2 linked regions of the Tamandua tetradactyla genome follow. The protein of the gene in region 1 interacts with the protein of each later gene in a pairwise test. Links are inferred from orthologs where the notes say so. Each region holds a gene or a part of one and is shown on either strand. Other genes may lie near its edges.

Region 1 (9,778 bases):
CTCTTCTCCCAGAGATTGTCATGATTCATTCCCTCAATTCCTTTGGCCTTCACTTAAATGCTGTCTTTTCAATGAGATTCCCCTGACCAATCTTTTGCAATTTAAAATTGCAATACCAACTCTCCACTCTCAATTCCCCTTTAGTATCTTATTTATGTAGTTTTTACAGAGAACTTAATACAATCTGACGTGCTATATATTTTATATATTTGTTTTTGTTTGTCTCTTCCTTCCAGAATGTGAATATTTTTATGCCCAGAGCCTAGAACAGTACACACAGTAGATGCTCAATAAATATTTGTGGAGTGAATGGACGAATGCTTTTGACAGACAAGCATCAGTTTTGTCTTGCTCTCAGCATTGATCTGATGATGATGCAAACATATACCAGTGTGTGACCTCTCAGCTGAGTCCCAGACACCTTGTAAAGAGAAGTCAGTTGCATTCTGGAGATGGCCTGGGCCCATCTGGGGTAAACTCAGCCCTAATAATAATGTTCCTGAGGGCCAGTACTGCTGACTCAACCCATAATCCTCAGTGCCAGCTCCTGCTGGGGAGTTCCCCCAAGCACCTCCCACCTCCCCTCCACAGGAGGGTCCCATCTTACCTTGGTGCTTGTTATCCCACCGATTTCTCTTAATGGTACCCGCTGGGCCAGACCGAGGGGGCCCCCTCCTCCTTCATCTGAGTGAGTCACAATCTCACGTTTACCTTCAGGAAGAGAGGAATCTAAGAAGAGACAGGAAATTTGTTGAAGTTTCTGGAACACTCACAAAATTCTGAAATGGGCCTTGCAACCTCTGAAGAGGGGTATGCCAGTTTGACAGCCTCTGCTGCACCATCAGGAACAGGAATTCATCCCAGCAAGCTCTATCCTAAGCCCTGTACTATCTCACTAAATACCTATGAATCTGAACACCATGAGTAGACTGCAGATGTGGTGATGGTTCTTAGGGGCTGGGAATAGAACAGTGAGTGGAAGGTAAATCTTTCAGGGAGAGGGTAGAAATGGGGACCACCTCCCGTTTGAGACATGTGCAACTGGTTACCAACCTCTGTTTTAGGCCCACTTCACCCCACCAGGCCTTCTGAGCTTTCTCTTGTCTTATTCCCTGCTGCAGACTAAGCTCCTGCCCCTGTTCTCTCCCCAGGGCCAGACACACTTACTAGGCTGGGCTGCGTTCTTCAGGGGCAATCCTGAGGCCTGGTTCACTGAAGTTCTGATGACAAATAACAGCAGTGAGCAGTCACTGAGTACCAAGTATGAGCTAAGTGCTTTATAAACATCATCTCATTTAATTCTCACGATAACCTCTAATGATAGTACAAACATTATCCTCATTTGACAGATAAAGAAGCTACGAGAGTTTAAATAAGTTCACACAACTAAGTGGCAAGTCAGGAATCAAACTCAAATCCCATTTATTGCTATTAGTCTGTGCTCTAACCACTACACACAAGCAATAACACCTCTCATTCTTGTCCCTCCCCTTTGGCTCATGATCTGAGGAGACTGATGCCACACTGAGGCCTGGCTATGAAGGTCTGAACTCTGTTCCAAGGACTCACCTCTAGGAAGGTTACCCCTTCCCCTCCTGGGTTGGTAGGAAGTCCTAAAGCTACAGGAGGCCCCAGGTCTGGGGGAACCCTGCATAAGACACTGGGTCAATCTTTTCCAAATGATACTTTCCCACACCCTCTTCTTCTCACCGGCTCCTGCCACCTGTCTCTCTTCTTAACTCCTGGAAACTGGGGCGAGTAGAGGGGTGAAAGGAAGGTCCTGAAGGTGGAATCTGATCCAGAGAAGCAAGAAATGAGAGCAGAGTCACAGCGTGGACCCCAAATCTTCTCCAACCCCATCTTCCCCACAGAACCCTCTGCGGCTCCTCATGAGGTACTATTTGTCCCAGGGCCCAGCCTGTCCTGTAAGCAGATGCTCCCTGAAGCACTGACAGCCAGCCCCTCAAGGGCACTCACCAGAGCCTCTAGCCTCTGGGGACCCAAGGTCTGGCCACGGGGTCCTGGTCCCTCCAGCCTCGAGAAGCAGGAAGCCCTGGCAGGATCCAGACGGTGGACGGGAGTTCTGGGGGCTGAATAAGCTGAGGCCCGGGCACCCTGGGACCCCAACAGAGGCTATCAGCACAGGTTCAGGATCCCCTCCCCATCCCATGCAGTCTGATTACTTTACATCATTACCTGGCCCCTCCGGATGGTGCTTCCTTGGCTCTCTCGAACCAATACTCTCTGAGCCAGACTGAGTTGACGCCCCAGGCAACAGCTCTTTACCCCCTCACCTGACAGGATGGTGGCCAGGGCTGCAGGATCAGCCACAAATTCTGTGGCCCCTGGAGCCTCTGCAAGAAAAGAGGAGAAGGTGAGAAATAATAGGAAGGGTGACGACTAAGGGATCAGGGGCCCTGGTGTAGTCACCTTGTGGTGCAAGGGTGAAAAAAGAAACTCTCATTCAATTGAACTCAGCTCATCAAATGTTCACAGAACTCTACTGTTCTCTAAGTAAGACACTATTCTGGGCATTGGGACCCGGAGATGATTAAGACAAAGCCTGTATCCTCAAGAAGCTATCATCAAACTATAGAGAATAGACTCAAATTTAAAAAAAGACATATCATATAAATGAAGAATTAAGCATCTGATTGTGACTGAGGGAGCAGGAAAAGGTTTCAAAAGAGATGACATTTTGCTGAAGGAAGAGTAGGGAGGGTGGGGCTTCTAATAACAAAGAGCTTCCCAGGAGCAGGGACCAGGGAACCCACAGGCAAGTACAAAGCCCTGAAACCCCACTGTGTCCGTCACACTCCCCCACCCAACCAAAGACGCTGTAGTCTCCAGGCCTCCAACAGGTACCTGTCTGGGGAAGAGGACCAGGTCTCACATTCGGACCCCCAGGACTACTCCTGAGCTCCTTCAGGGGGTTCCGGAGCTGAGTGCTCCCCATCAATCTCTCTGATTTCTCGGTTTGGTGCATGGCTTTCGGCCTGGAGCCTGCTAGGCCAACAAGGGGTCCTTTAATACTAAGCGGTGGATTCTGCACTGATTCCTGGGAGGAAAAGACAACAAAAAGCTGGGACGCTGCGTTGGGCTGCATTACTGGTGTATGCAGCCTCCTTGTAACTGCTACCTTTATCCACTAAGCCCCTCTTACGCTTGGATCTTGGTTCTCCTGGTCCAGGGCGGAGAGTTTGTCCCTGGGGAGAGGTAGGCGTCTCTGAGTAAGTACGGGAATCTTGCTAGGGGTGGGGGATACACCCCGGAGGAGCGGATCCTTCGTGGCTTGGAGTGAGGTCATGATGGCTACAACTGAGACGGGGAAGGAAGCAGAACCGGAAAGCAAAGGTCAGCCATTTCGGGACACTGGTTCTTCCAATCCTGAGGCTCTTACCTATGCCTAAACTGAAGAGCCCCGAACCCCCCGGCTCCTGCAAGGCCTTACTTTGGATGCCACCTCCAGACACTCCGAGTCTATTCTTTCGCCCCAGCACCCCAAGCTGCTTCTCCTCCCCGTGAGCTCCCGTACCCCTCATTCCCTCCAAGATTCTCGTGTCTCACCTTCTCCGGAACCCCTTAGGGCCACCCTCACTTTCTTCGCTTTTTCTTGGACTCTATGCGTCCCCAGAAGCTGCTTTCACAGTTTGTAAAATACTTCAAGCTCCTGATTGGCTCGTCCGCGCTCCCGCGGGGCGCACGACAGCTGACACAGCCGTCCAATCCACAGGCTCCGGGGGCGGGGCCAAAGAGGGACGGGATGTCTAACCTCCTTCTGGCCAGGAAAAAACTGATCCAGTCCAGTCAGCCAATCCGTGAGCGGAGCGCAGGGTAAAAGGAGGGGAAAAAAGGAAGGAAGACGCCGTTTTGAGGACAGAGAAGGTGACGACAGCTAGGGCTGGATGATAACTATGCAATCTTAATCTCGCGAGATCTCGGGACTGATGAGGGACGGCCCCTTGGCGAGAAAAAGCAGTAGCATTGTGGGAAGGGTTGGTCCTCCTAATAGCGGTTTAAGGTATTGGAGGCTGTTCCCAGCTCCTGAGTGAACTCTGGTCACTTTCGCAGCGCCTCGCATCGGCGAAGCCATTCCAGTCACTAATAGGAAGCATCTGCACGTTTGTTCCCAGGACAAGGAACTGCGTCCCAACGAAGCGAGAGGACCGAAGGGAATTTAACTGAGTCTGAAAGAACTGAGCTGAGCCTGATAATAACGGATAAAACAACCGTTTTCTCACTCGACCCTCACAACCCCATGAAATGTGGTCTCCATTTCAAAAATAGGAAACAAGACTCAGGTAGTGACATTGGAATTCAGTTGATACAACTTTAGAATTGAGTAGCTGCTTAGCTGAGGATTTCCCCACTTCCAGGCTGCCTCTCTTTTTTTTTTTTAATTTTTTTTTATTAATTAAAGAAAAAAAAGAAATTAACACAACATTTAGATATCATTCCATTCTACATATGCAATCAGTAATTCTTAACATCATCACATAGATGCATGATCATCATTTCTTAGTACATTTGCATCGAATTAGGAAAAGAACTAGCAAAAAAACAGAAAAAGATATAGAATGTTAATATAGAGAAAAAAATAAAAATAATAATAATAGTAAAAAAAAGGCACAAACAAACAGACAAACAAAAAACCCTATAGCTCAGATGCAGCTTCATTCAGTGTTTTAACATGATTACTTTACATTTAGGTATTATTGTGCTGTCCATTTTTGAGTTTTTATATCTAGTCCTGTTGCACAGTCTATATCCCTTCAGCTCCAATTACCCATTATCTTACCCTGTTTCTAACTCCTGCTGGTCTCTGTTACCAATGACATATTCCAAGTTTATTCTCGAATGTCGGTTCACATCAGTGGGACCATACAGTATTTGTCCTTTAGTTTTTGGCTAGACTCACTCAGCATAATGTTCTCTAGGTCCATCCATGTTACTACATGCTTCATAAGTTTATTCTGTCTTAAAGCTGCATAATATTCCATCGTATGTATATACCACAGTTTGTTTAGCCACTCTTCTGTTGATGGACATTTTGGCTGTTTCCATCTCTTTGCAATTGTAAATAACGCTGCTATAAACATTGGTGTGCAAATGTCCGTTTGTGTCTTTGCCCGTAAGTCCTTTGAGTAGATACCCAGCAATGGTATTGCTGGGTCGTATGGCAATTCTATATTCAGTTTTGTGAGGAACCGCCAAACTGCCTTCCACAGTGGTTGCACCAATTGACATTCCCACCAACAGTGGATAAGTGTGCCTCTTTCTCCGCATCCTCTCCAGCACTTGTCATTTTCTGTTTTGTTGATAATGGCCATTCTGGTGGGTGTGAGATGATATCTCATTGTGGTTTTGATTTGCATTTCTCTAATGGCCAGGGACATTGAGCATCTCTTCATGTGCCTTTTGGCCATTTGTATTTCCTCTTCTGAGAGGTGTCTGTTCAAGTCTTTTTCCCATTTTGTAATTGGGTTGGCTGTCTTTTTGTTGTTGAGTTGGACAATCTCTTTATAAATTCTGGATACTAGACCTTTATCTGATATGTCATTTCCAAATATTGTCTCCCATTGTGTAGGCTGTCTTTCTACTTTCTTGATGAAGTTCTTTGATGCACAAAAGTGTTTAATTTTGAGGAGCTCCCATTTATTTATTTCCTTCTTCAGTGCTCTTGATTTATGTTTAAGGTCCATAAAACCGCCTCCAATTGTAAGTTTCATAAGATATCTCCCTACATTTTCCTCTAACTGTTTTATGGTCTTAGACCTAATGTTTAGATCTTTGATCCATTTTGAGTTAACTTTTGTATAGGGTGTGAGATACGGGTCTTCTTTCATTCTTTTGCATATGGATATCCAGTTCTCTAGGCCCCATTTATTGAAGAGACTGTTCTGTCCCAGGTGAGTTGACTTGACTGCCTTATCAAAGATCAAATGTCCATAGATGAGAGGGTCTATATCTGAACACTCTATTCGATTCCATTGGTCGATATATCTATCTTTATGCCAATATCATGCTGTTTTGACCACTGTGGCTTCATAATATGCCTTAAAGTCTGTCAGCGTGAGACCTCCAGCTTCGTTTTTTTCCTCAAGATACTTTTAGCAATTCGGGGCACCCTGCCCTTCCAGATAAATTTGCTTATTGGTTTTTCTATTTCTGAAAAATAAGTTGTTGGGATTTTGATTGGTATTGCATTGAATCTGTAAATCAATTTAGGTAGGATTGACATCTTAACTATATTTAGTCTTCCAATCCATGAGCACGGTATGCCCTTCCATCTATTTAGGTCTTCTGTGATTTCTTTTAACAGTTTTTTGTAGTTTTATTTGTATAGGTTTTTTGTCTCTTTAGTTTAATTTATTCCTAGGTATTTTATTCTTTTAGTTGCGATTGTAAATGGGATTTGTTTCTTGATTTCCCCCTCAGCTTGTTCATTACTAGTGTATAGAAATGCTACAGATTTTTGAATGTTGATCTTGTAACCTGCTACTTTGCTGTACTCATTTATTAGCTCTAGTAGTTTTGTTGTGGATTTTTCTGGGTTTTCGACGTATAGTATCATATCGTCTGCAAACAGTGATAATTTTACTTCTTCCTTTCCAATTTTGATGCCTTGTATTTCTTTTTCTTGTCTAATTGCTCTGGCTAGAACCTCCAACACGATGTTGAATGATAGTGGTGATAGTGGACATCCTTGTCTTGTTCCTGATCTTAGGGGGAAAGTTTTCAATTTTTCCCCGTTGAGGATGATATTAGCTGTGGGTTTTTCATATATTCCCTCTATCATTTTAAGGAAGTTCCCTTGTATTCCTATCTTTTGAAGTGTTTTCAACAGGAAAGGATGTTGAATCTTGTCAAATGCCTTCTCTGCATCAATTGAGATGATCATGTGATTTTTCTGCTTAGATTTGTTGATGTGGTGTATTACATTAATTGATTTTCTTATGTGGAACCATCCTTGCATACCTGGGATGAATCCTACTTGGTCATGATGTATAATTCTTTTGATATGTTGTTGGATACGATTTGCTAGAATTTTATTGAGGATTTTTGCATCTATATTCATTAGAGAGATTGGTCTGTAGTTTTCTTTTCTTGTAATATCTTTGCCTGGTTTTGGTATGAGGGTGATGTTGGCTTCATAGAATGAATTAGTTAGCTTTCCCTCCACTTCGATTTTTTGAAGAGTTTGAGGAGATTTGGTACTATTTCTTTCTGGAATGTTTGATAGAATTCACATGTGAAGCCGTCTGGTCCTGGACTTTTCTTTTTAGGAAGCTTTTGAATGACTAATTCAATTTCTTTACTTGTGATTGGTTTGTTGAGGCCATCCATTTCTTCTTGAGTCAAAGTTGGTTGTTCATGTCTTTCCAGGAACCCGTCCATTTCATCTAAACTGTTGTATTTATTAGCGTAAAGTTGTTCATAGTATCCTGTTATTACCTCCTTTATTTCTGTGAGGTCAGTGGTTATGTCTCCTCTTCCATTTCTGATCTTATTTATTTGCATCCTCTCTCTTCTTCTTTTTGTCAATCTTGCTAAGGGCCCATCAATCTTATTGATTTTCTCATAGAACCAACTTCTGGTCTTATTGATTTTCTCTATTGTTTTCATGTTTTCAATTTCATTTATTTCTGCTCTAATCTTTGTTATTTCTTTCCTTTTGCTTGCTTTGGGATTAGTTTGCTGTTCTTTCTCCAGTTTTTCCAAGTGGACAGTTAATTCCTGCATTTTTGCCTTTTCTTCTTTTGTGATATAGGCATTTAGGGCAATAAATTTCCCTCTTAGCACTGCCTTTGCTGCGTCCCATAGGTTTTGATATGTTGTGTTTTCATTTTCATTCGCCTCGAGGTATTTACTAATTTCTCTTGCAATTTATTCTTTGACCCACTCGTTGTTAAAGAGTGTGTTGTTGAGCCTCCACGTATTTGTGAATTTTCTGGCACTCCGCCTATTATTGATTTCCAACTTCATTCCTTTATGATCCGAGAAAGTGTTGTGTATGATTTCAATCTTTTTAAATTTGTTAAGACTTGCTTTGTGACCCAGCATATGGTCTATCTTTGAGAATGATCCATGAGCACTTGAGAAAAAGGTGTATCCTGCTGTTGTGGGATGTAATGTCCTATAAATGTCTGTTAAGTCTAGCTCATTTATAGTAATATTCAGATTCTCTATTTCTTTATTGATCCTCTGTCTAGATGTTCTGTCCATTGATGAGAGTGGTGAATTGAAGTCTCCAACTATTATGGTATATGTGTCTATTTCCCTTTTCAGTGTTTGCAGTGTATTCCTCACGTATTTTGGGGCATTCTGGTTCGGTCCGTAAATATTTATGATTGTTATGTCTTCTTGTTTAATTGTTCCTTTTATTAGTAGATAGTGTCCTTCTTTGTCTCTTTTAACTGTTTTACATTTGAAGTCTAATTTGTTGGATATTAGTATAGCCACTCCTGCTCTTTTCTGGTTGTTATTTGCATGAAGTATCTTTACCCAACCTTTCACTTTCAACCTATGTTTATCTTTGGGTCTAAGATGTGTTTCCTGTAGACAGCATATAGAAGGATCCTGTTTTTTAATCCATTCTGCCAGTCTATGTCTTTTGATTGGGGAATTCAGTCCATTAACTTTTAGTGTTATTACTGTTTGGATAATATTTTCCTCTACCATTTTGCCTTTTGTATTATATATATCATATCTGACTTTCCTTCTTTCTACACTCTTCTCCATACCTCTCTCTTCTGTCTTTTCGTATCTGACTCTAGTGCTCCCTTTAGTATTTCTTGCAGAGTTGGTCTCTTGGTCACAAATTCTCTCAGTGACTTTTTGTCTGAGAATGTTTTAATTTCTCCCTCATTTTTGAAGGACAATTTTGCTGGATATAGGAGTCTTGGTTGGCAGTTTTTCTCTTTTAGTAATTTAAATATATCATCCCACTGTCTTCTAACTTCCATGGTTTCTGCTGAGAAATCTACACATAGTCTTCTTGGGTTTCCCTTGTATGTGATGGATTGTTTTTCTCTTGCTGCTTTCAAGATCCTCTCTTTCTCTTTGACCTCTGACATTCTAACTAGCAAGTGTCTTGGAGAACGCCTATTTGGGTCTAATCTCTTTGGGGTGAGCTGCACTTCTTGGATCTGTAATTTTAGGTCTTTCATAAGAGTTGGGAAATTTTCCGTGATAATTTCTTCCATTAGTTTTTCTCCTCCTTTTCCCTTCTCTTCTTCTTCTGGGACACCCACAACACATATATTTGTGCGCTTCATATTGTCATTCAGTTCCCTGATCCCTTGTTCAAATTTTTCCATTCTTTTCCCTATAGTTTCTGTTTCTTTTTGGAATTCAGATGTTCCATCCTCCAATTCACTAATTCTATCTTCTGTCTCTTTAAATCTACCATTGTAGGTATCCATTGTTTTTCCATCTTTTCTACTTTGTCCTTCACTCCCATAAGTTCTGTGATTTACTTTTTTCAGTTTTTCTATTTCTTCTTTTTGTTCAGCCCATGTCTTCTTCATGTCCTCCCTCAATTTATCGATTTGGTTTTTGAAGAGGTTTTCCATTTCTGTTTGTATATTCAGCATTAGTTGTCTCAGCTCCTGTATCTCATTTGAACTGTTGGTTTGTTCCTTTGACTGGGCCATATTTTCAATTTTCTGAGTGTGATCCGTTATCTTCTACTGGCATCTGGGCATTTAATCAGATTTCCCTGGGTGTAAGACCCCGCAGGTTGAAATATTTTTCTGTGAAATCTCTGGGCTCTGTT
Region 2 (10,082 bases), on another chromosome or scaffold:
CATCGGCATGAAGGTGAAGGGCAGGAACTGGCTGAGGGTTGGGGTGGGGTGGGGTCGGGGGGCCAATGTCCTCACCCCTGCTCTGAAACCCTCACCCAGGTGTCTTCATTTGCCGAGGAAAGGAAGATGCACTTGTCACCAAGAATCTGGTCCCTGGAGAATCAGTTTATGGAGAGAAGAGAGTCTCGATCTCGGTGAGACCTGGGGCCCTGTCTAAGCTAGTGGGACCCCAGCTGATGGTATATCCAGCAGTCTGATCTCCCTGCTGCCACCCTTACCTCCCCCTTCCCCCTTCATATGTCCTGCAGATGCTGGCCAGGGATCACGGTAACTTCCCTCCTCACATGCCTTCTGTGATTCCCTGTTGCCTTCAGCTTGGTCCGGAGTCCTTACTGGCCCTGACAGCCCTCCACGCTCTAGTCCCCTTCTCCACCCCGGCCTCATCTCCCCCCTGCTTTCTCCCTAACCAGGCTGCACTGATCTCCTTGCTATTCCCTCTGCCTGGAGTTTTTGTCAGTAACTTCTGTGTGAGTCTGACTCCTTCTGTCTCCCCACCCTGCCTGTCAAAATCAACCCCCACCCCCTGCCCTCAGTCCTGGTCACTGGCCCTTACTGCCCCATGTTATTTTCTTTATGGGCAGGTACACTCTTGCCTCAGGGCCTTCTTGCTTGCTTTTCCTCTGCCTGTCATGCTCTTCCCCAGATAGCGCTCATCTACTTCAGGTAGCTCCTTCTCGGCTCGTCTCTTGCCACCTTTTCTCATTTTCACCTGTCTCTTGACATATCACCATCTAGTATAACATATTTTATTTAGTTAATTATAGTGTTATGTACTCTTTGGGGGCAGGGGTCTTTTTCTTATTCACAAGGTTTGGCACAAGCAGGTGCTTGTTGAATGAATGCATAGGACTTGATGTTACTCGATCCAGTCTGTGTCTCTCTGTGTTTATTGTCTCTTGCTGTCTTCTCCCCTTGAGTCAGTGACTTCCAGTCAGGCAGGACTGCATCTGTCCTGGTTCATGCTCTTCGTCCACAATTCATTTCTTGTACAACAACAAAATGCCCAGTTCTTTTCGAGGGCCCTAGGGTAAGGGATATGGGCTGTTGGAGAAGAGCCCAGCACTTATTTCCCCATCTCTCCCGGCCTAGGAAGGAGATGACAAAATTGAGTACCGTGCATGGAACCCCTTCCGCTCAAAACTGGCAGCAGCAATCCTGGGCGGCGTAGACCAGATCCACATTAGGCCGGGGGCCAAGGTGCTCTACCTTGGGGCTGCTTCGGGGACCACTGTCTCCCACGTCTCTGACATTGTAGGACCGGTGAGTGGGGGTGGGGGTGAGAATCTGTGACAAAATGTAAGAGTGGTGGTGAGGTGAGTGGGAAAGAAAAGATGCCTTCCTTTGCCAGCCTCGAGTCAGAGTCCTGTCTGCTTCCATTCACTGTGGCACAGAACCGGGCTCTGCCTTCTAGAAGGGGATAGGAGGCCCCTCCAAAGCTCGCTTCTGGGTTTCTGGACCTGAGGGAAAGGGGCATAGGCATTAGAGGGGCCCAGAGCTAGGAGTATCGGTATCAGACTATTTGAATTGGTTGCCCTTGTTAAAAATTCATGTCCCCAAAATCCAGGCTTCTGGTTTATCTTGAAAGAACAGGAGATCTCAGAGTTTCTGGGCCTGCATTTCAATTTATACCATCTGTAGAGGGAGGCTGTACATCTCCCTTTGTGACCCCTTTCTCGTTTATGTGATTGCTGGCTGTGTAATTTAGTAGTTACAGACCCTAGGCTCTGATGCCAGGCTCTTTGGATTCAAATCCCAGCTTAGCCATTTAACAGTGATGTCGTTTTGGACAGATTATTTATCTCTCCGGGGCTCACTTTACCCCCTGGAAAACAGACTTGTGAAAATTAGACAAGTTAATTTCTACACAGTGTTTCTGAACAGTACCTGGCATGTGGCAAATGCTTGTTAGCTGTTGTGCTTCATCATTCTGTGCCTTGGCTTCCTGTTTTTAAGCCTTTATTGAGAGCCTGGGCTCTCAGATTAGGTAACTTGGTGTTTGGAAGGCTCACTTGCTTGCTGAATAATCCTTGGTTGATAATTTCACATCCCAGGACCTCAGTTTATTAATCTATGAAGTAGACTTGATAACAATGGCTGTTAAATGATAGGATTTTGATTTGGAGGTTGGAAGAAATGCTGCATGCAGAGCGTAGGCCCATTAGTAAGTAGTGGCTCCATATGAGCACTGATACCATCACTGTTATTACTTGCCTTGTTTTAGGATGGTCTGGTCTATGCAGTTGAGTTCTCCCACCGTTCTGGCCGTGACCTCATTAACCTGGCCAAGAAGAGGACCAATATAATTCCTGTCATTGAAGATGCTCGGCACCCACACAAATACCGCATGCTCATTGGTGAGGGGCCCTGGGCGTCGGCCCAGGTAGGGTGGGATAGGCCACTCCTAGAAACAGGTTTCCTGGAAGAGCCTATCTAAGCCCTGAATCGGACTGAATTGGAATGAATGAGCAGTCCCTCAGAGTCTGTAGGAGTGAGAAGGGATGGGGGAATCAGTTGAGATTATGGAGGTGGGGGCCCCATTCCATGGTCTCAGGTGTCTGGCACCCTTGAAGAGCCAGCCTCCTCTCTTTTGAAATCTTTCCTTAGACCCCTGTGCTTCTAGCCTCCCCCCCAAAACACAGTACTTTCTACACTGCTCCTGACTTGTGTGTAGAACCCCCTCCAAGATGCTGTTCATTATCTGATGATCCTAGCCCAGGAGGCACAAACTGAGCTGGCTCTGACCCTCAGGGGGCCATTGTAGATATTTTAATGCCTGTATTTTTTTTTGTTCTCTAATTGGAAATGTAACATATGATTTTGTTTTGTAAAAAATCAAAAGCATGATGTAAAAATGGAAAGCCTTTTAAACATCCCCAGAGGTAATTGACGTAAACAATTTGATGGCTACTTGTTGTGAATTTTAAAAAGTCAGTTTTCATCATACCACCCCATGCCCGCCCCGCATGAGCAGACACCGGGAATCAAACCTGGTTCTCTGGCATGGCAGGCGAAAACTCTGCCTGCTGATCCACTGTTGTACCGCCCTACACCATCTTTTCAATTGTTAAAGTTTCCTTCCTCCCCTACCCCCACTCCTTACTCACACTGGCTTTAAACATTACTTTGTCATTCCACTTGTTTTTCTTTCTGAGTTTTTTTCCCGTATTCTCATATATATTTGTCCTGCGACTTGTTTTCATTTGACAACCCCGAAGACGTTCTTGCCTATTAGTGCTCACCTTTAGTTGCCTTTTTGATGACCTGGTTGTCTCCCCCGCCAGGCCTGGGAGCATCTTGAGGGCAGGGTCCGGGTTTGACTTGTCTCTGTGTCACCAGGGCTGGCCACAGAGTAGGTGGCAACCATGTTGGGGATGCTGTGGAGGAATGGGGGATCAGTGGGGGAAGTTGGATTGGAGGCAGGGAAACTGCCAAGCATCTGCTCATGATGGGGCACAAGCCCAAGGGGGGGAGCTGGGAAGATCTCTGGTGGGCTCGACTTCTAAACGCCACCCCTCTCTCCCTAGCAATGGTGGATGTGATCTTTGCTGACGTTGCCCAGCCAGACCAGACCCGGATCGTGGCCCTGAATGCCCACACTTTCTTGCGTAATGGAGGACACTTTGTGATTTCCATTAAGGTGGGGGACTTGATGGTGTGTAAGATGGGATGGGACTGTCCCAGGATGGCTTCTTCTCTGTCAGGGTGTGACAGCCAGCCAGGTGAAACAAGGGGGTCACCATCTTCCTTACTCCAGTCAGTCTACTCCCAGCCTCTGTCCCTACTCCAGCCCCCTACCATTTGTTCTCCAACTCCATTCATATAACACGTGATACCAAAATGTCAGCAAAACTAAAAGCTTTGGATTTAGAGATTAATATGTGGTGGTCAAATGCATGGTCACTGATCCTGACTGAATCTTAAATCCCAGTTTGCTCTGTGAGTTTGAGCAAGTTACTTAACCTCTGTGTACCTCAGTTTCTTCATTTGTAGAATGGAAATATTAGTTCTATCTCTAGGGTATACGTGAAGAATTAACATATGTGAAGTGTTCAGAACATTCTGGCATAAAATTAAATATAAGATAAATATTAGATGCATTTTTTAAACTTTGAAATACAGAGAACTTAGTCCTGTATGCTCTTCACCCAGATTGACTATTTGCCAGCCTTTTGCTACATTTGCTTTGTTATTCTTAGCTGGCTTATTACTATTACAATTTAGTAAAGAAAAAGAGGAAGAAGAAAAAACAGACAAACTCTGTTTTATATGTAAAATTTAGGGGCTGTGATTAAAGCTTCCTAGTTCAAATCCAAACGAAACTGAAAGCTTTTTTAATGAAGCATTTCCCCACATTTCTGAAACCCTGCCATAGAAGAGACAGTAATGATTGTTGTTGGCCTCTTCAGCCTGAGGGTCACTTACTTTCCAAAGAAAACAAATACTTCTGGTTTAAAGAGCACAAAAAAAGGGAAACCAGAAGTCAAAGCCTTGCTGCGGACTTAAAATCTCTCCTTCTATAGGCCAACTGCATTGACTCTACAGCCTCCGCCGAGGCCGTATTTGCCTCTGAAGTGAAAAAGATGCAACAGGAGAACATGAAGCCCCAAGAGCAGTTGACCTTAGAGCCTTACGAAAGAGACCATGCTGTGGTTGTGGGTGTGTACAGGTGAGCAGGCAGCCAGTAATCTACCAGGATAGATGTCTGTCCCTTAAACTCAGAGCTGTGTGGGTCAGTTCTTGTTGGGAATGCCCATGGTCTTGGAGATTCCCCTCATCTCCTCTCTTCCTCTCACAGGCCACCTCCTAAAGTGAAGAACTGAGTGAAGTTCACCGCTGTCAGGATTGCGAGAGATTGTGTGGTTGCTGTTGCACGTGTGTTTTTCTATTAAAAGACTCTTCTGTCACCGTTGTCTGCAGCTGATTGCTCTGCCACCGCTGTTGTCCACCTGGCGCATGCGCCCTTGGTGCTCTTGAGTGGGGGTGGAAAGTCTCATCTTGTTACATGGCGCATGCTCTGTTTTCAGCGGTCTCCTGCGCAGCCGTAATCCGGTTTTCGGCGCCTAGGCGGGGTTAGTGACTCGCTGCGCATGATTGGTAGTAGTGCCCACTAAACGCAGGCGCGGATTGCTTCCTTGGGTCACGTGAAGGGGCGGGGGTGGGGAGGCGGGGTGAGGGCGGAGTCCGGGGCGAGGGCGGAGTCTGGGGCGGGGTGGAGGGGTTGGTTTGTTGTGGTCGCCATTTTGCTGGTTGCATTACTGGGTAATCGTGGCTCTGGCTTGCTGCGTCCGCCGGATACCTTCCGCCCGTGGGCAGGTCAGAGCTCGGGCCTCCCGAGCAGTTTGAGTCCCCTTGCCTGCGCTCTCAGGTAACGAAACGAAGATGAGTGGGGTGGCATGCGCTCGCAGGGAGTGGAGGGGAGGGCGGAATTCGCCCTGGCCGCGTCGCAGCGAGAATGAGCACAAGGCCCCGGCATGGGGGTGAGGAGGGCGGGCAGGTGCAGGCCCAGCCTGGCTATTCATAGTCGGATTCCTGGAAGGGGCCAAGCCCGAGGGAGCGATCTTGGGAGGAAAGTTGGGAGGGGGTAGCCAGGCCTGGCTCCCGCCCTTTGTTTGGGCTTGGCTCCGCCGGCCGCATCGTCGTTGCCTAGCAACAGCCATCTTGGACTATGATTGGCCGAGTTCTTGGCAGCGACGACCAATTGCACGGTTGTTGCCATGGCAGGGTGCGGACTGCCAAGCTCAGTCGGGCCCCGCCCGCCGGTTCTCCGCAGGCCGGGGCGGGCCTCCAGGGTGGGGGGCGGGACGCCTGGGTCCCCAGAGGCGGGGGGCCAGTGGTGCGAGAGTTAGCTCGCCCCTCCCCCGTCCACCTGCTTGCCCTTCCCCCGCGTGCCCCGGGTTGACCCTCGTTCCCTGCTCTCCCCGCCCCCGGCGGTGGCGGTGGCGGTGGCTGCTGTTTTCACCCACCGGGCCGTCTGTCCCGCTTGCCCTCCCCGCCGCGGGGCTTGCCGGGCCGGCCGGGCTGGGGACAGACGGCCGCCTCCTCGCTGCCGCCACTGCCGCCATGCTGGCCGCTCACCCGCCCCACTGGGGGCCCCACCGCGCCCCAGCCCCCAGTGGGCTCCGCGCCAGCCCTGACCCGGGTATGGGGTGGGGGCTGAGAGAGACGGTCCTGTTGTGGGAGGGCCCTGGGTTATAGGTTGTTTTGGGGGTGAGGGGCGATCTTCCAGGGAGTGGAACTCCAAGAGTGGTGGGGCCTGGAGTGGCAAAACCTTGCTTAGGAGCAAAGAATCTGACATAGGGGGGTTGTGTGGGTGCGGGTGGAAGCCCTTGGGAGAGGGACTTTAGTGTGGTTCAGTGTTCTGAGAGAGAGAACCCTATGTGATATTTGAGGAATTTGGCTATGTGGGCCTCCTAAGAATGGGCGCGGCTGTGTAGTGACCCTGATAAAGGGGAGCTGTGGGGGAAATGTTGGGTAGTGGACGTAGGATCCAATGTAGAGGAAATAAGAAGGAAGATCACTGTAAGCCATGGGAAGAGGCTCCCCCCCCCTTGGTTCCATCAGAAATGGGCTTTGGAAGGGGAACATTGGAGTACCATGAGAAATACTGCAGATATGGCATGGGGGAATGGGGCTTTGGTTGGGAGACTACCTAGAGGGTGGTCTCTGAGGAAGGAGGACCCGATAAAGGGAAGAAATCCTGGCATGATAAATTGGGAGAACAGTGGGAGGCGGGTCCCGTAGGAAGGGTGTGCCCTGGTTAATGAGGTTGCCATAGAATAGGACTCTGGTCTGTAGGGGATCTCAGATAATCTTGGGGTGGCTGGGTGGTCCTCAGAGGAACCTGATGTGGTTTAGGGGTCCTATAGAAGACCCTGCTATGGCTTGGGGGAGGTTCCAGAGAGCTCTTGTTTCTAGGGTTCTCTGCATTTGGGGATGTGTTGGGAAGGGTAGGCCTTGAAGTAGAGGGGTCTTGGTGATAGAGGATGAGATCCTGATGTTCAGGAAGACTGCAGGAGGGTGGGATCTTAGGTGAGGGGTCCTGGGGAGAGCCACGAGTAGAAATGGGAAGAAAAGAATGAACCCTACTTCCCATGCTGCCTGTGGTTTCTATCATTTTCTTCTCTTTCCTCCCTCCAATTATTGGTGTCTTTCTGTCCTCCTTTCCTGTCATGACCCAAATCCCCTGCTCTTGCCTGCCTCTTTCTTCATCCCCTTTCATGCATCCCTGTCTTTATTCCGCCTCATTCATTTTTTTAATGATCATTTGTCGAGGTACTTTGCTTTGCCCCCCCACCTGGCTTGCCACTTCTCTTCCCTCTTTTTATTGCCACCTGTTGCACCCTTTTCCACCTCCTTCTGTGCCCCTGCTTTCTCTGTCATATCCATTTGTTCCCTGCTTGGCACTGTCCCACATATCCCCCTGTTCCATGTTGTTCCCCCGCCTCCCTGCCTGCTCTCAGGTCTCAGCGGCGGTGGCAGCCGAGGTGCAGGATGCGAGAAGGCGCCCCCCGGCCGGGCTCCCGCTCCAGGCCTCACTCCCTTGTGGCCCTCTGAGCCCACCATGGCCGTCCCACCAGGCCATGGTCCCTTCTCTGGCTTTCCAGGGCCCCAGGAGCACACGCAGGTATGCGTTCACCCAGCTCCTCATCTGCCTGGGGTCAAGGGAGGCTGGGAATAGAAGGGTTTCAGGGCCAAGAGATGGAATGTGGCTGCCCCAGACAGTATCCAGGGGTGTGAAGGGCCCCTGAGTTGTAGAAGATAACAGAAAAGGTGCTGGCAGTCAGGGTTTGGAGAGCCTGGGTTCAAATCCTGGCATGGTGATTAAATTACTAAGTTCTCTATGCTTCCGTTTTCTTATCTGTGAAATGGAGCCAATATCAAAACCTACCTCACAGAGTTGTTGTGAGGATTAAAGAAGTTAATGAAATGCATGTAAAATGCCGAGAATAGTGCCTGGTACCTAGGAAACACCTAATAATGCTTACTAAGAAAACGTTAGAGTGAAGGATCTGGAGGGAGTGGATGGAGAGGAGGGTTGAGACCTAAGGGTCTTGGGACCAACAGGGCCTGAGTGGTATAGGGTAAAGCACTCCAATGGTAGAGATGGTGGAGGTTCTAACATGTAGATCTTGAAACAGGATGGAATGGGAGGTCCAGGGTATAGGATCCAGGTTCTCAAGACCTTTCAAATGAAAGAACAGGGCAAAGATGCTTGGGGCAAGGGAGGGGGGAGCGAGGTGAGAAGCAACACCCTAAGGGATAAGGGTAAAGTGAGATGGGGGTGCATAGAGGTGGGACACCCAGAATGGAGTGGGGGCTAGGGCAGGGCTGTCTCTCCTGCTAAAAGGTTAGGAAGGTTTCCCCTATGATCTCTCCCACTGAAGTTCAGAAAGGAGTGAAGGTGTGGGTCAGAATGCTGGCTAAAGGCCCAGGGGGAAAGAGTTCCCTTATTTAGTCAACACCCATTGCTTCTGTTGAACATCCGCTACATACTAGACCCTGCTCAAGGCCCTGGAGACATAGTAAGAACAAGACAGACCTTGTAGAGTTCATTTCTAATTGGGTAGACAGAATGACCATATAAATAGGTGATTGCGTGGGGTAATAATGAGCCAGATGTCCATATGATTCTCCCCCTTGAGGTCAGACATGATGGGTCTTGCCTGTCCTCAGTGAGGCACCCCCGCCCTGCCCAGCAGGTATTGCCTGATGTGCGGCTACTGCCGCGGAGGCTGCCCCTGGCCTTCCGGGATGCGACCTCAGCCCCACTGCGCAAACTCTCTGTGGACCTCATCAAGACCTACAAGCACATCAATGAGGTAGGCAGGGGCCGGGGCAACCTGGGCTGGGGTCTGGGGGGTTCTCACTGCAGGCATGGGTCGCTCACTGGTCCTCACCTCCTGCTTGGCCAACTGGATAGGTATACTATGCGAAGAAGAAGCGGCGGGCCCAGCAGGCGCCGCCCCAGGACTCGAGCACCAAGAAGGAGAAGAAGGTCTTGAACCACGGTTACGATGACGACAACCACGACTACATAGTGCGCAGTGGCGAGCGCTGGCTGGAACGCTACGAGATTGACTCACTCATTGGCAAGGGCTCTTTTGGCCAGGTGCGGGACAACCAACCCTGAAGCCAGGGATTGGGAGGCATGGGAACCCACTGACATTGACCCCCTCACCCAGTCACTTAGTTTGCTATACCTCAGGTTCCTTTTCTGTAAAATAGTACAAATAACAGGACTCCCCACATAAGGTAGTTGACAGGTGTTTCCACCACTGCCTCAGTCATGGTGAGCATTCAAGTGTGTATTTTTATTACTGTCAATTTTTGGGGTTGGGTCCCCTTTGCTGAGCTGAGGGAGGCCAGAGGGAGAAGAGGAAGAGAGTTACCTGGCTCTCCCCTACCTCCCCCACCTTGTGATGTGCCCTGCCCTGGCAGGTGGTGAAAGCCTATGACCATCAGACTCAGGAGTTGGTGGCCATCAAGATCATCAAGAACAAAAAGGCCTTCCTGAACCAGGCCCAGATTGAGTTGCGGCTGCTGGAGCTGATGAACCAGCATGATACGGAAATGAAGTATTATATCGGTGAGACCTGGGGCCAGTAGGGCCATCAATGCCTGGGATAAAGGGAACTAGCTAGGGATGGGTCACCCCCAAAATAGGAGGGGTCTGGTGTCCTTTGGCCAGGGTTTGGTCTGTGTTTGCTTGACATCAGGGATTCTTCTGCTCCCCATGATTTTTCACCTGGTCACATGATAACAATGGCCAGAGTTAATGTTCACTAAGAGCCAGGCTCTAAGCACTTTACATTAATTAACTCATTTCTCATTATAACCCCATGAAGGAAGGGGCAATCATTGCCCACATTTTGGAGATGAATAAGCTAAGCGTACTGGTACTAGCATTTGTGTGAGATCACAGAGTTTATACTCAGCAGAGCTATGATGTGACTAGGCAGTCTGCTCCAGAGCCCTTGCTCTTAACATGTGGGCCAGGTGTCTTTCTCTTTCACTTAACACTG

What was found.
Region 2: the proteins of TROAP (region 1) and DYRK1B interact in binary tests that used the Homo sapiens proteins (3 or more experiments, as listed by UniProt). The link is inferred for Tamandua tetradactyla from reciprocal best matches to the Homo sapiens genes TROAP and DYRK1B.

What each region holds. Positions count from the first base shown.
Region 1 is NC_135333.1:110,256,067-110,265,844, reverse strand, and holds the start of TROAP (tastin), read right to left. Parts: upstream 3,914-9,778; 5' UTR 3,568-3,913; intron 3,319-3,567; 5' UTR 3,308-3,318; coding exon 3,164-3,307; intron 3,059-3,163; coding exon 2,866-3,058; intron 2,355-2,865; coding exon 2,197-2,354; intron 2,116-2,196; coding exon 1,978-2,115; intron 1,794-1,977; coding exon 1,711-1,793; intron 1,221-1,710; coding exon 1,168-1,220; intron 730-1,167; coding exon 608-729; intron 1-607. UniProt on the Homo sapiens protein: Could be involved with bystin and trophinin in a cell adhesion molecule complex that mediates an initial attachment of the blastocyst to uterine epithelial cells at the time of the embryo implantation.
Region 2 is NC_135342.1:24,181,071-24,191,152, forward strand, and holds the start of DYRK1B (dual specificity tyrosine-phosphorylation-regulated kinase 1B), read left to right. Parts: upstream 1-5,789; 5' UTR 5,790-6,120; coding exon 6,121-6,199; intron 6,200-7,520; coding exon 7,521-7,684; intron 7,685-8,756; coding exon 8,757-8,879; intron 8,880-8,980; coding exon 8,981-9,169; intron 9,170-9,498; coding exon 9,499-9,646; intron 9,647-10,082. Other genes in the region: FBL (rRNA 2'-O-methyltransferase fibrillarin), read left to right, coding at 1-13, 100-194, 1,150-1,320, 2,282-2,414, 3,585-3,697, 4,581-4,726, 4,856-4,880.